Stegostoma tigrinum: one gene and its partner. The protein of the gene in region 2 binds, or shares a complex with, the protein of the main gene of each other region. Links are inferred from orthologs where the notes say so. Each region holds a gene or a part of one and is shown on either strand. Other genes may lie near its edges.

Region 1 (7,388 bases), on a different chromosome or scaffold from region 2:
ACTATGGTGACATGACCTGACTTTAATTGGATTATCATTTAAACAGCTAAATAAATGTAGAGCAGCAACTGCTTATCAAAATATTTATCATCTATGTACCTTCCCCATTTTGGGCACAGGTCCATAAAGGCCAATGTAAAAATCAAACCTCTGGCCTGCACGTATGGGTTGAAAATTTTGTTGCTTATTATCTAAAATACTTATGGCTCACATTGTTACCCCTAGGAAGCTTTGCTAACGCACCTTCTGATGTAGTTCTTGGTCCTTCAGTTTCTATGGTATCACTTGTTACAGTATAACAAATTCTGGTTAAAGCTGATTGCCCTATTATTTTAATAATATTTTCATTGTTACAGAGCCAGGGCTAAACAATGGCTCCACTTTGCTTCAGGGTACTAGTCGTCTAAGAATTCCACATATTGCAAATGTTTGATATCATTTATAACCATTTCACAAATTGATAAAGAGATGTGGGCCAGTGATGACAGAATCAGAATTACAGAACACAGAAACAAACCCTCGGTCCAACTCGCTACACTGACCAGACAGCCTAAACTGATTTAATCCCGTTTGCCAGCATTTGGCCAACATTCCTCTAAACCATTCCTATTCATGTGCCCATCCAGATGCCTTTTAAATGTTATAATTGTATCCACCTCCACCACCTCCTCTGGCAGCTCTGCATGAAAAAAATTGCACTTCAGACACCTTTTAAATCTTCCCCTCTCACCTCAAACCTACGCCCTCTAGGTTAGCATTCCCGTACCGTGGGAAAAGATCTTGGCTATTCACCCTATCCACACCCCATATGATTTTTTAAACCTCAATAAGGCCACCCCTCAGCCTCCAACACTTCAGGGAATAAAGCCCCAGCCTAATCAGCCTCTTGCGATAGCTCAAACCTTCCAGCCCTAAACTTCAACGTTCCTACTCCTCTGATGCTACTTGGCCTGCTGTGTTCATCCAGCTCTACACTTTGTTATCTCAGATTCTCCAGCATCTGCAGTTCCTACTAACTCTTGAAACAACCTTGTTACTCTTTCTGAACCCTTTCAAGTTTAATGACATCTTTCCTATAGCAGGGAGACACGTTGCCATACCTTGGCCGGTTCACACTTAACATACTTAATGTTGAAGATTAAGAGCAAGAAAGGCAGCATTTAAAACAAAAGCCTTGAATACCATCTGCGATAGGGTGTTCCTATAAACATACATCATGCCCATCTAATCTTTTTTCAATTATTCACCATAATGCCACTTGAAAACTAGACTCAAATGTTCCCAATGTGATGAAACACATTGAACCAGTGCAAAGTTATTTTATTCATATTCAAATCTCCTTCTTGACAAGCATAACATTCTAATTCAGTATTAAAAATCCTACTCAATCTGAAATGAATGATGTTGAATACGCCAGAGCATTTATCGATGTAATCTATGAGTGAGTTTTACTTGCTGCCTTAATTGGGCTACTTTAAAAACAAATTCATCATCTCAACCAAAGTTTGGCATGCCGAAGGCAGTAAATAAACCAATTATTTTACACCTCTCCTCAAAGTTGAACCATATTACTGCTTTACTTCTTTTTCCCGGTATATAAGACACAAGATCACAACTTATGACCTGTCTAGTATACAAGAATCTAAACAATTTACGCCTCGCAGGACGTTTTAAAAAACGTGCTCCATATGATAAAGCCTAATCAAGGCCTCTACTGAACTTTGCTAGGTAATTTCATAGGAGACTTAGAAAGACACCTATAAAACCCAAGCAGCTGATTCAGAATCTACTCTCAATTTGTGGGCAATAAAATCGAAGTTGTGTTAAAGTAAAGAATGCCAATGAGATTGCAACAAAGACGTAGAGATGGAGCAGGGCCTGGTGCCTCACGGTACAAGAAGCGAGGAGCGGTTCGAAATCTCATAGATAACAAAGTGTGGGGCCGGCCTCCAATCCAACGCGTCTCACGTGTTTGAGCTCAGCAGTGCCGGACGCTGGCAAGGGGGCGAGGAAGGCAAAAAACCTCCGGAGTCGGAGCCCGAGGCAGCAACTGGCGGGAGAATCCAGCAAACTCCCAGGTTGAGAGGGGAGTGCCGGCGGGTTGAGCCTGCTCACATCCCATTCACTGCAGCGTGTAGGCCCGGGCCGGAGAAAGGCAGGAAGACGCTTGTTGCCACCGGGTACATAAGAGGCTGCAGTGTGTGTGTGTGTGTGTGTGGTGGGGGTAACGGAGGGAGAAATGTTTTGAATACGGTACAACCCGGTCAGTCGGACAAAAGTCCCCCGGGGGGGGGGGGGGGTGAGGAGAGAAGCAAGGCCGCGGTATTGGGGGGGCGGGGGGAAGGATCACAGTAGACACATGCCGGCGGAACGGGACTCAGGGTAAAGTTTCAACTTTGAAAAAGGCACGAAAATGGATGCAGGGAGGGAGCCGCAGTTTCCGCTCGCAGGTTTAGGGGCATTGGTGGTGGGAGGTGTGCACACCAGTTGTGGGGCAAATCGTGCCACCACCGCGAGGCCGGGGGGGGGGGGGGGGGAAACAAAAGTGCCCCGATCCGACCGGGAAGGCGCACGCTCTGGATCACCGCCGTTCTCCCTCAGTCACTCACCAGGATCCGCTTGAAGAGGGCGTTCTCCTTGGCTGGCAGCGTTATCGACGGCATGGCTAGCTCTAGTGCAGCGGGCTCGGTGGCCGGTTCGCCGGGTCAAGTGAGACACGCGCTGTCTTTGGTGGTTTTACTTGCTTCCCCCCGAATACGATCCTGGGGCTCCTCAGCTCATGGGCCGCTTTTGCCTTTTTTCTCTCTCTCTCTCTCACACACACACACATGCACTTCTTCCTTCCCTCCTCTCTTTTCTACCCCCCCACCACCAGCCACTCCGCGGCCCCGCAATTTGCTCTCGCTTCGAGCGGAACCTCCGCCTTCACGTGTGTATTTTTTTTCCGCTCCGCTCCCTGCAGCACTGAATTCAGCGGAGGGGAGGAAAGAAAAACCCTCAACCAAAATGGCGGGGGCGGCAGTCAGCAGCAACGCCGGCTCCCTCCGGGTCAGCTGCCACTGCGCAGGCGCCGCTCGCAGCGAACCCTCACGCCGTCGGCTGACCTCACATGCGCGGAGCACGACGGGACAGTGGAGGACCGCGTGTGATCCTCCCAAGTGCGTGCCGAGTGATTCCCATCGAGAGCCAACTTTTGCTGGCCGTGTGTTATTCTTCCAGAGTTCTTGCGTTTTCATCATAAATTTGTTTTGTTTTTCTGAAATCCGGCGTAAACAAACAATATCAGTGACATAACAGTAGATTCCAATTTTCCTTATATACCTGACAATGTTTATATAGTAAAATTATCGTATGGGTGAATATCATGGAACCAAGAAGATAATAAAAGTAACACCCGCAGTATTTTGATTTTGTTAACACGCAGCTTGTAGACCGCAGTGTATTAATACAAACAGGAATGTATGTATTCCGGCCAGTAGCATCGGTTAAGTTTAACACGTCAAGGTGATTCCTTGAGATCTGCACCTACACTAACACTTCCTGATGAAAGGCGAGAAAGTAGGTGTGGCTCCCAGTATATGTTCTGACTCTTGTGAGAGAATCCTCCCACTTCATTTAAGTACCACTGGATTTGCAAAACCGACCGTACGCCACATTCGGCAATTCTTTTAAACTAAGATTCCGTGCACGTTAATAGCAACACTTAAATGGAAAACTGTCTATCATCTACTTGCTAAGTAGAGGACGATAATCAGCTCGGGAAGATCTTTCGAGACAACGAAGAGTGAACGTTTGAGTTGTATCGGTAATTTCCGGTATTATTATTCTTTGAGACAAAACAAGGCCACCGATTTGAATTTAAAGTTGCTTTCACCCAGTATTTGGGATTCGGACTCGCAATCCGTGCGCACCAAATCCATTTCAAGCCACTTATTCAGTTTCAAAGGGCAGAAACGCAGGGATCCAGGGGTATTCAGACATTGTTGAAGGTAACATGGCAGGTTGAGAAAGTGGATAAGACTTTGACTTTGACCAGGAGATCTTGGATACAAACACTGAGAATGCTGGAGAAACTCTGCATTTGTAGATAAACAAACAGTTTGACGCTTCTTCTGAAATCATATCGAATTTGAAATGTTAACTGTTTTTCTCCCTATAGCTGCTGAATTTCTCCAACGTTCTGTGTCTATTTCGAAATTCCTGAATCTGTACCATTTTATTTTTTGCCTGTATAAATAGAGGAATAGAGTATAAAATACAGCATTTATTAGTCCATCCCTAATTGCCCTTGGAAACGGTGCGGTGAGCTACCTTATTGAAGCAGCGCCGGCCATTTGGTGCAAATAGACCTACGATGCTGTTGGGGAGAGTGATTAGGAAGGCTATGGTGGCACTAGTGATTTTAAAAATGTCAGGAATGCCTCTAGATATGAGGGACTTCTTTGGTTATTTGGAGCAATCGTAGCTGAAGGAGAAGGTTGAGAGAGGATTTAATAGGGGTGTTCCATAGCTCATAAGGGAACTCAACAGCTTCCAAGCCTCACTGGTACACCAGTTAGTATCCAGCTATTAGTTTAGCTTACGTCTCTTACAAGGAAAGTTGTATTGTGAGAGGAAACTGCAACTGACTTCAGTGATGCAATTATCTGCAATGGAAAACAAGACAACTGAAACACCACAGCAAGGAGGGGGGTTATCAAGTTCAGAGAAGTGGTACTGAAGCTTTTAGTCATGCAATCTGAATGAAGACTGTGACCATGGTTTCATAGAGACCAAGAATTTGTTAGGGAATGCCTTCCAACCAGAGGAGGTGACTAATGAAGACAAAACAAATAGCCTAATTCCATGAACCTGGCTGTAGTACTGGAAAATGTTCAATGACTGCATATAAATCAGGGACTGCACCTGTAGATTGCAGATATGCTGTGGTGAGTATTGCAAAGTTCAAGTCAAGCATTCTCTGCAGCAGAACCATTGCTTGAGAAACTTTCTAATAGATACTTGGCATTCATTAGTAGAACAGGGATCATTAACCAGGTGTACCACCCTTGATTATGTTTTAGATACTCAAAATTTGCCAGGATCAGCAATTTGTCTGAGGGTAGTGAGCATTCATCACTAATGATGTTACAACCACAGGTCTTCAACAGATAAATGTTACTCTAAGGCAAAGAAACTCAAAGGAAAAGGTGAATCAACCATGGTGAAAGAAAGAAGTTAAACATTGTATTTAATCAAAGGCAATGACTTCTAAGAATGCCAGAGGTAGTGGTAAACTTGAGAATTTGGATTAATTTATGACCCAGCAAAGGAAGTCCAAAAAAACTGATAAGGAAAGGGAAAAGTGAACATGAATGCAAGCTGGTGAAGAACATAAAAGTGCCTTGGAGATGCATCTCTGATATATGAAAAGAGAAAAGATTAACAACAGTAATTGTTGGTCCATTACAAATGGGGACAGGATTATTTGCATTTCAAATTGTGGGAGGTGGAGAAACTAGGCAGAAACACAAGGTGGCCAAGGAGCTTGTGTAACTGAAAAGCTGAAAGAACTTAACCTTAGTCAGGTGGTAATACTTGGAAAAATTAGCTGGATTGAGGGTTGATAAGTCTTCTGGACCAGGTGAGCTTTATCACAGAGTACGGAAGGAAGTAGCAATAGAAGTAGTGATTGCATGGACGATTGCCTCTGATAATTCCATAGATTCTGGAAGGCACAAATATAACTCCACTGTTTCAGAATGGAGAAACATGGGGAATGGAAAAATACAGACCTATTAGTTTGGTAGCCATAGTACAGAAAATATTAGAATCTGTTATAAAAGTTGTGATAACTGAACATTTATTAAAAATCTCAAATTGGGCAAAGTCAACTCAGATTAATGAAAGGGAACTTATATTTGACAGACTTTTGTTTGCGGCATAAATAAGGGAAAACCAGTGGATGTGGTGTATTTGGATTTTCAGAAGACTCTTGACAAAATCCCACTAGCCAGTATAATTATAGCACATGGGATTGCGGGAGGTTATAGTGCTATGGATTAAGAATTGGGTCAATAGACAGAAAGCAGAGAGGAATAAGTGGATCATTCTCAGGGTGGTAGGTTGTTACTAGTGTTACTACTAGTAGGACCATTCACAAAATATTAATAGTTATTTGAATGGCAGGACAATTGTACCCTTTCCAAATTTAGGTCAGGAGCAGTGTGCAAGGAAGTTCCAGTGGGATTTGGACATGCCAAGTAAATGAGGTAGAACGTTACAGATGAAAATGGTGTAAATAAGCATGAGGATTTTCATCTGTCTTGAAAAAAAAGTCATAAAGGCAGAATATTTCTTAAATGGTGCAATGTTGAAAGTGTAGGTGTCTAAAGGGATCAAATATTACTGTCTGTGTCACTAACTGGTAGCGTGGAGGTGCGGCAAGAATTTAGAAAGGCAAACAGTATGCTGGTATTCATGCCTTGGGAATTTAATTGCATAAGTAAAGATGTCTTGCTGCAGTTGTACAGGACCTTGGTGAGAACTCAGTTGGAGTATTGTGTACAGTTTCAGTCTCTTTAACTGACAAAGCATATATGTGCCATGGAGGGAGTGCAATGGTGGTTTATCAGATTAACCCCGAGGATGGCAGGGTTGCTTCATGAGGAGACATTAGAGAATACAAATCCAATTTCTTTAAAGATTCAAAGAATGAGAGGTGGTTCCACTGCAGCTTGAAAAATACAGGGCAAGACAAATAGGATGGGATGTTTCCCTTGGCTGGCGGTTCAAGAATGGCAAAACAAATGTTCTTCACCCAACTTGACAAAGGCATTCAAATGAGAAGAGGATGAAGGAAGCACTTCAAAGACTTCCTGAAGGTTTCTGTCAAGAAATATAACATAGATGTCAATACACGTGAGACCCTCATTCAGAATAAACTGACTTGGAGGAATGTTCCATACAAAGGAGCACAACTCTTTGAGAATACACATCAGCAAGAGGAAGAATGGAAGAGGAACCAGTGAAAGAAATGTCAGTGATCTTAATGCCACAGACCTATTCCACTTCCTAGAAACACCTGCCAAATTTATGGTCAGAGATGCAGCTGCAGGATTGAATTCATCAGCCTTGCAAGGACCCTCAGAATCCATGACTAGTGTCATGGAATTTCCTTAGGTGGACAATCATACACGTAAATGAGTGATTGGTGACTAAGATGAGTTCAAGAACCAGGGGATATAATATCAGTACAAAGATAGGCCATTTAAACTGAGTTGAGGAGGAGTTTCTTCATTCACAGGGTAGTGAATATTTGGAAATTTCTACGGAAGCTCAATAATTCAGGTTCAAGAATAAATTGATAGGTTTCTGTAGGCTAGTGATATTCTAGGATAAAGAGACAG
Region 2 (7,963 bases):
TACATCTGCAATCTAAGTTATACACAAGATTTGATTACATTCAGTGCTGTTTCCTAGGTCAGAGCAATGTGATGTCGACTGACTGTTCCACTACTTCCTGAATAGTGCTTTGACACATCCAAAAACCACGTTCAGAATGCTAAGTTCTTGTGTTCCTTGGTGACAGAGTCAGGAAGTAACTTTGTGCTTAAGTAGTTTGCATCGCGTAGCAAATAGGTTGGTTATACTGGGCCTCTCCTTTTCTTGCTCACACTAGAAACCTTATATTTAAAAACAATGGATCTTTTTCCTTATATTGACCTTTCAAATGCTCCTGCCTCTTGCTCATTAGATATTGTGCCCAATAACTTCACACTTGCCTCAATTTATGTTTTTCAGGTGTCCTACAACATTATTGCCACTTGCCACACTATCTCTAGTTTCAGCATAGTTTCACCAAATGTTTCTGGAGAGTCATCCAGGTAACAATACTCCATTTAATGCCTGGCCATCTCCTGATAATAAGCTGTCTCAATTGTCAGCATGTCCTGCCTTTCGATTACTATTTTTCACACGTTCACTTCAGTTTGATTTCGGAAGCAGCAGTCAAGGACTTAGATACTTACTGCAAAAAAGCACAGTAAATACTTGCGAGACAGTAATTGAACACTGACACTCATACCAAGAATTAAACTGTCATTAACCACAGGGAAGATAGCATCATTAATGTTGGAAAATATTCCAAGGCACACCTCAGGAGTATATTCAACAAGTCATAGGTAAAAATGTTAGGACATGTGACTAAACATTTATTCAAAAAGCTAAGTTTCAAGAAACATCTTAATGAAGAAAGAGGTAGCAAGGCAAAGCCAGATGAACGATGGTAGTGGGAATAAAATCAAGCACGCACGAGAGGCTAAATTAGAGGAACACATAACTCAGAGGATTGACATCTGAAGAGTGTAGAAATGGAATAACGCCAAGGTCACGAATTTAAACAAGAATGACTATTGTAATAATCACTGTGTATTATAAGGATTTCTCATTTTTAATTACTGTATTTCTTAAAATAAATGTGAAGGAGTTAAGTCCAGTACTGATCATTATTGAGGGCATAAACAAACTAATGTGTGCAGGTTACAATTTTCTACACTTCACTGTGTTCCCCTGAAAACAATACTAACAACTGAGTATTTCACAGGTGGTAGGTACACACTGAATCCTTGTCTTAATAATTGCTCTCTATGTGTGTAACTAAACAGTGGAAACCTTAGCAATGTAAGGAACACCACAATCTCTAATTCCAGCAGAAATTATTAGATAGTAATCAGGAGGAGGAATCACAGTTGATTTTAACTTCTCTAATCCAGTGATGTTACATCAATGCAGCTCTTCAGCAAACATCAAGAAACATAATACAAGCCAGTAGTAATTCTTCCAAACCATGCAGCCCAGTTACACACCGATTTGATCAAGTGCACCGACTCTACAGCTTATTCTAATTCATACATCATTTCACTAATCCTATTCCCTTACTTTCCTTTTTACTCCACAACAAAAATTAGAGATTAGGCTCAAAAATCTACATGAAAAGAACTGTAATACTAATGGAAGATTTACTTCAGGAAAAATCACACAAAAGATTTATTTACATTGCATATTACACAATTTCAGGACATCCCAAAGCAGCTTATAGCAAAGGCAAGATTTGTCTCAATTTCCACCACTGATTTTATTTACAACTTAGTCTTGACAAAATAGTTAAAACATGTGTTACAGCATAAACAAAATTTTTATTTAAATATTTCCTTGCAAATTTCATTTCTTACCCTTCAAAACGTATTAATGATAATAAAATGAGAGGCTGGATGAACACAGCAGGCCAAGCAGCATCTCAGGAGCACAAAAGCTTTTGAGCTCCTGAGATGCTGCTTGGCCTGCTGTGTTCATCCAGCCTCTCATTTTATTATCTTGGAATTCTCCAGCATCTGCAGTTCCCATTATCTCTAAAACATATTAATGATTGGTATTTTAGATTCTGTTCTACATAGAAGTTACAAAGCATTGATAATAGCATCTTCAGACTTCACAGGGAAAATATGTCAAAGAATAGAAAATAATTGATAAAAACGTATTAATTTATTTTCATGCCCAGCAGGGTCATTTGACCATTTTATGAGTAATCACGGTACATGAAAAAATTCCCAGATAAATTGAGCAGAAAATGAATCTGACAGAAACACTGAAAGCAACAGTTGAAACACTTCACCAACAAAATGTAACCTGTTATGTGTAAATACATAAATAATAGATCATAGAACATAAACAGAGTTGATGGAGCGAATTACTGGTAGGGGTTGGGGGAGGCAGTTGGATTTATTGAGGTATTACAATGGAGAGAGACTTAGCTGGGTTATGTCTCCGGGGAAAGGGGAGGGGTGGTAAGCTGGATTCTGCTCGGGGTTCATGAGGGGAGTCCGATTGAAAACTCAGTTCCTGGATTCATAATTAGAGGAAAAAGTCAATTAAAAGTAAAGTACTCTGGATGCTGAGTATGTGATTTTTTTTAAAAAAGTGTTGAGAAACTCCGCAGGTCTGGTAGCATCTGGGGACAGGAAAAAAAAACAGAATTAACGTGTCGAATCCAACAGAACACTTCTTCGGCACAGAAAAAAAGGTTTACCTCCGCCCTGAGTGAGGCAGAGAAGGGAAAAAGTGAGAAGGCCGCAGAAATCAGGCCCCCCAACTCCACCTACAACTCAACTAAAATAAAACTCTGACGGAGGAACTCCCGCCGCTTGCCCGAGGCCGCTGAGGGGAGCGGGGGAGCTGGGGGGGGGGGGGGGGCGGCGAGATCAGCTCCGACAGGCCGGGCCTCTTCTCTTCCCCCCCTCGCCTGCCATCCAGCGTGCTTGTCAGTTGGACTCACCCCTTCATGATGGGCGGGCGCTTGTCCGTCTTCACCTGGTGACCGAGCGGCGAGGAGCAGGAGGATGGAGGTGAATCGCCCAAACTCTTCAGCCCCTAACACATGCCACTCGCCGCGCACGCTCCTCTCCGCGCCACCCACTCTTCACCTCTGACCCCTGACCTCAGTCGGGCTTTTTGGGAGGGGGGTGGCGGTGGCGGTAGGAAATGGTTGGGGGAGGGCAATACGTTCGGCTCCTGCCCGACGACAGCCGAGTGTTCCCGACTGCGGGCCGAATGCCCTCCGAGTCTTCCCGAATCCCGGCCCGGTCTCCGCGAGTGGAGCCGAGTCCACCCGACTCTGGCACGCGTGGTGCCGAGTCGGACCAAGGCACGGCCAGGACTTCACGAACGGAGACGAGTCCGTTCGGGTGGTGCCTGAGTTCGCCCACCTCCAGGCCAGCTCCTCACGAATGGAGCCGAGTCTATCCGACTGTGCACCGAGTCAGCCCGACTGCGGGCCTGGTCTCGAGCAGGGGAGCCGCGAGTGAAACCGAGTGCATCTCGGACTATCCGAACCCTAACGAATTCCTCTCAGAAATAATCACCTGTATCGTTTAAATTTCTGTCCTTTTTATTTGAGTTATAAATTTAGAGAAAATATAACCGCCGACCATAGGCGGACTATTGGAATTAACTTGAAAGAAACGACAGCCACTGTAACCTTTTCACCCTCTACCAGTTCCATATCATGTTCATATCGGCCTTCGCGTAGAAATAAACTCCCCGCCAGTCCCTACGAGGGTCCTCCCGAGTGATGTTTATGTTAGTGGTAATGGGAACTGCAGAAGCTGGAGAATCCAAGATAACAAAGTGTGGAGCTGGATGAACACAGCAGGCCCAGCAGCATCTCAGGAGCACAAAAGCTGACGTTTCGGGCCTAGACCCTTCATCAGAGAGGGGGATGGGGTGAGGGTTCTGGAATAAATAGGGAGAGAGGGGGAGGCGGACCGAAGATGGAGAGAAAAGAAGATAGGTGGAGAGGAGAGTATAGGTGGAGAGAGTATAGGTGGGGAGGTAGGGAGGGGATAGGTCACTTCAGGGAAGACAGGTCAAGGAGGTGGGATGAGGTTAGTAGGTAGATGGGGGTGCGGCTTGTGGTGGGAGGAAGGGATGGGTGAGAGGAAGAACAGGTTAGGGAAGTGGAGGGGAGTGTGGAGCAGACAAGGGAGTTGTGGAGAGAGTGGTCTCTGTGGAAGGCAGACAAGGGGGGGGATGGAAAAATGTCTTGGGTGGTGGGATCGGATTGTAGATGGCGGAAGTGTCGGAGGATGATGCGTTGTATCCGGAGGTATGTGAGAACGAGGGGGATCCTCTGGGGGCGGTTGTTGCGGGAAATGCGGTCAAGGGCGTTCTCGACCACTGCGGGGGGAATGTTGTGGTCCTTGAAGAACGTGGACATCTGGGATGTGCGGGAGTGGAATGCCTCATCCTGGGAGCAGATGCGGCGGAGGCAGAGGAATTGGGAATAGGGGATGGAACCCACCCTCCTGCAAAAATTCCATCCCCTATTCCCAATTCCTCCGCCTCCACTGCATCTGCTCCCACAATGAGGCATTCCACTCCCACACATCCCAGATGTCCAAGTTCTTCAAGGACCACAACTTTCCCCCTGCAGTGGTTGAGAACGCCCTTGACCGCATTTCCCGCAACACATCCCTCACACACCGCCCCTGCCACAACCGCCCCCAGAGGATCCCCCTCGTCCTCACACACCACCCCACCAACCTCCGGATACAACGCATCATCCTCCGACACTTCCGCCATCTACAATCCGACCCCACCACCCAAGACATTTTTCCATCCCCACCCTTGTCTGCTTTGCGGAGAGACCACTCTCTCCACGACTCCCTTGTCTGCTCCACACACCCCTCCACTTCCCTAACCTGTTCTTCCTCTCACCCATCCCTTCCTCCCACCCCAAGCCACACCTCCGTCTCCTACCTACTAACCTCATCCCACCTCCTTGAGAGATAAAGGGAACTGCAGATGCTGGAGAATTCCAAGATAATAAAATGTGAGGCTGGATGAACACAGCAGGCCAAGCAGCATCTCAGGAGCACAAAAGCTGATGTTTCGGGCCTCGACCCTTCATCAGAGAGGGGGATGGGGAGAGGGAACTGGAATAAATAGGGAGAGAGTGGGAGGCAGACTGAAGGTGGAGAGTAAAGAAGATAGGTGGAGGGAGTATAGGTGGGGAGGTAGGGAGGGGATAGGTCAGTCCAGGGAAGACGGACAGGTCAAGGAGGTGGGATGAGGTTAGTAGGTAGATGGGGGTGCGGCTTGGGGTGGGAGGAAGGGATGGGTGAGAGGAAGAACCGGTTAGGGAGGCAGAGACAGGTTGGACTGGTTTTGGGATACAGTGGGGGGAGGGGACGAACTGGGCTGGTTTAGGGATGCAGGAGGGGAAGGGGAGATTTTGAAACTGGTGAAGTCCACATTGATACCATTGGGCTGCAGGGTTCCCAGGCGGAATATGAGTTGCTGTTCCTGCAACCTCCTTGAGCTGTCCGTCTTCCCCTCCCTACCTCCCCACCTATACTCTCCTCTCCACCTATCTTCTTTACTCTCCATCTTCAGTCCGCCTCCCCCTCTCTCCCTATTTATTCCAGTTCCCTCTCCCCATCCCCCTCTCTGATGAAGGGTCTAGGCCCGAAACGTCAGCTTTTGTGCTCCTGAGATGCTGCTTGGCTTGATGTTTATGATATTTATTTTACATAGAAAAGGCTGTTATCACGTGACTTGCTGAGTTCTTCCCTCCCCCCAACCCTCGGAAATTGTAATTCATCAATTCGCAAACATTACCGGAGTTTAAAACAATTTTGAAGAGGAAACGATCAAATTTTGATTCGGCGTTTATCTTAAAAAAATTTTTAAAAATCCCTCGGAATAGCGGAGGGGTGACGCACCGAGACGTCAGCGCGCCTGACATTTTCGCCTCCGTCCTCCACTGAGCACTGCAAAAGTCGTAAAGTTTTATTTATTTTATTTTATTTTGTTACACTCTTTCGGATGGTGACCTGAGGTGCGGTGTTAAAACATTGAAAATTAGGCTCGAGCGAAATATTAATTTCGGCAGCCCCGCCCCCTCCGTGCCGGCCGGCCGGCCCGCCCCCGCGCGCATGCGCTAGGATCAGCTGACTGAGCCGATCGGAGCTTGAGATCGGAGAGTCCGGAGCAGGTGAAGGAGGCTTCTCCTCAGCCAAGGTACATCGAGGAGGGTTTCCCTTGTCGGCCTTACTCGCTCGCTCGGCCGGCCGCACTGTTGCTGTTAGTCCGCGGCCCGATCGGTTCGGCCTGTTTGGGTTTTTGACGGTCGCGCAGCGTCCTGGGGGCAGGAGACTCTGACACCTAATCCGCCATCACCGCAGCCGCCCGGGCTCAGTGAGCTGCTTGTGCAGACCTTACGGTGCGAAGCTGTTCAAGCGTGTCCCTTCCCTGTCAGGCTGGCGGCGGGCTTTGGAGTACTGTGAGCGGGTTCGGGCCCTGCATCGAAGGCAGTGTGTGTTGGCGTTGGAGAGTAGCCCCGGGAGGAACAAAAGCAGAAGTCGCTGGAAAATCTCGGCAGGTCTGGCCGCACCTGTGAAGAAAGATCAAGAGTTAACGTTTCGGGTTCGACGACCCTTCCTCCGAACCGGACCCGAAAAGTTAACTCCGATTTTTCTTCACAGATGCTGCCAGACCTGCCGAGATTTTCCAGCGACTTCTGCTTTTGTTCCTGAATGATCATGGGGCTGAAAGGCTTGTCAGATGAGGAATGGAAGAGGACTCTGGTTCTGTACTTGATGGAGTTTAAAAGGATGGAAGGGTGGATATGGTTGGAACTAATAGAATATCTGAATAAGCGTTCTGACCCAAAATGTCGACTTTCCTACTCTTCTGCCTGACCACCTGTGCTCGTCTTGTTCCATGTTGTATTGACTCGGAATATTGAGGGTTATGGATAATGTGAAAACTGTTTCTACTGGTATGAGGATCTGAGGGCACACCTCAGAGGGGTGACCTTTTGGAATTGAAATGAGGAATTTATTCAGCCAGAGGGTGGGTAATCTGGTGAATTCATTGCAGCAGAGAGCTGTGGAGTTCTTGAATGGTAAGCGTATCAAGTGTTATGGAGAAGGCAGGAGAATTGGATTGAGAAACATGGCAGGCATGATCAAACGGTGAAGTAGATCAGTGGGCTGAATGGCCTGCTTCTGTTTCCGTGTCTCGTGGTCTTTGCTCGTGCTTAAATGGATTTGTTTTCCTGTCTCTTGCTCCACTCCCCCATCTCTTTCTATTCTGTCCTAATTCTCCTCACTTTCTGCCCATCTCCTCCGTTTAGCTCTCAAATTATATTGTACTCTCCTCTCCCATCCCACTAATCTCTGTGCCTGTAACAAGCTTCTTTGCACAACCCTGGTTGAATTGTCAATTTATCCTCTGGTAGATTGTATCATCTTTTCCCTCATCTTTGTACTATTTCTCTCAATTTATACATTTTTTCTCCATTTGTTCACATTGTGCACTTTTCTGCTTCTCCCTAAGCCTATCCCACTGAAAAAAAAATTCCAATTGCTCTCTGGAGTGTGTATTAACATTTTTGGAGTTGACTTATGAATATGCTCAAATCTATTCTCCCACTGTCTAATGACATAAATCATGGAAGGAAAGGGAGTGTGTGAGGTGTCAAGCACTGGTATACGTCGATAGTGGGAAGTGAAACAGGAGTTTTGCAATTCAAGAAATCTTGAAAGCACTGTTCAACTCCTCACTAAAGACAAAGACGACAAGTTTTAAATCGTATCATATCCATGCTGAAACGTCCTCATGATAAATGCACCCAGCATTGTGGACTTTGAACGTGTTACGGCAATTTCAGTTATGTGCATCAGTAAAATATGATATTCTTGTGATTGTTTAATCCTAAATTGGTTTCTGCTTAATGTACTTGTATAAGCTAGCCTAAGTGTACATATCACACGTTGCTAGCTAATTCTCTTAAGCCTTTTATTCTGAAATGTGTGTTTGTGACTTC

What was found. Proteins that work in one complex are often made in the same cells at the same time.
Region 1: the proteins of naa50 (region 2) and naa15a are in contact, whole or in part, in a cryo-EM structure (PDB 6PPL), measured with the Homo sapiens proteins. The link is inferred for Stegostoma tigrinum from reciprocal best matches to the Homo sapiens genes NAA50 and NAA15. Residues at the interface, in NP_079422.1 of Homo sapiens: Arg5, His14, Asn15, Lys17, Gln18, Arg21, Leu22, Val25, Phe51, Asn52, Ile54, Ala55, Leu80, Pro82, Tyr83, Leu86; in NP_476516.1 of Homo sapiens: Pro369, Pro370, Thr371, Leu374, Ser403, Thr404, Pro405, Thr406, Leu407, Ile408, Phe411, Glu433, Ala436, Leu437, Asp438, Thr439, Ala440.

Annotation. Positions count from the first base shown.
Region 1 is NC_081354.1:25,840,360-25,847,747, reverse strand, and holds the start of naa15a (N-alpha-acetyltransferase 15, NatA auxiliary subunit a), read right to left. Parts: upstream 3,075-7,388; 5' UTR 2,664-3,074; coding exon 2,610-2,663; intron 1-2,609. UniProt on the Homo sapiens protein: Auxillary subunit of N-terminal acetyltransferase complexes which display alpha (N-terminal) acetyltransferase (NAT) activity. The NAT activity may be important for vascular, hematopoietic and neuronal growth and development.
Region 2 is NC_081359.1:15,223,164-15,231,126, reverse strand, and holds the start of naa50 (N-alpha-acetyltransferase 50), read right to left. Parts: upstream 3,082-7,963; 5' UTR 2,917-3,081; coding exon 2,909-2,916; intron 1-2,908. UniProt on the Homo sapiens protein: N-alpha-acetyltransferase that acetylates the N-terminus of proteins that retain their initiating methionine. Has a broad substrate specificity: able to acetylate the initiator methionine of most peptides, except for those with a proline in second position.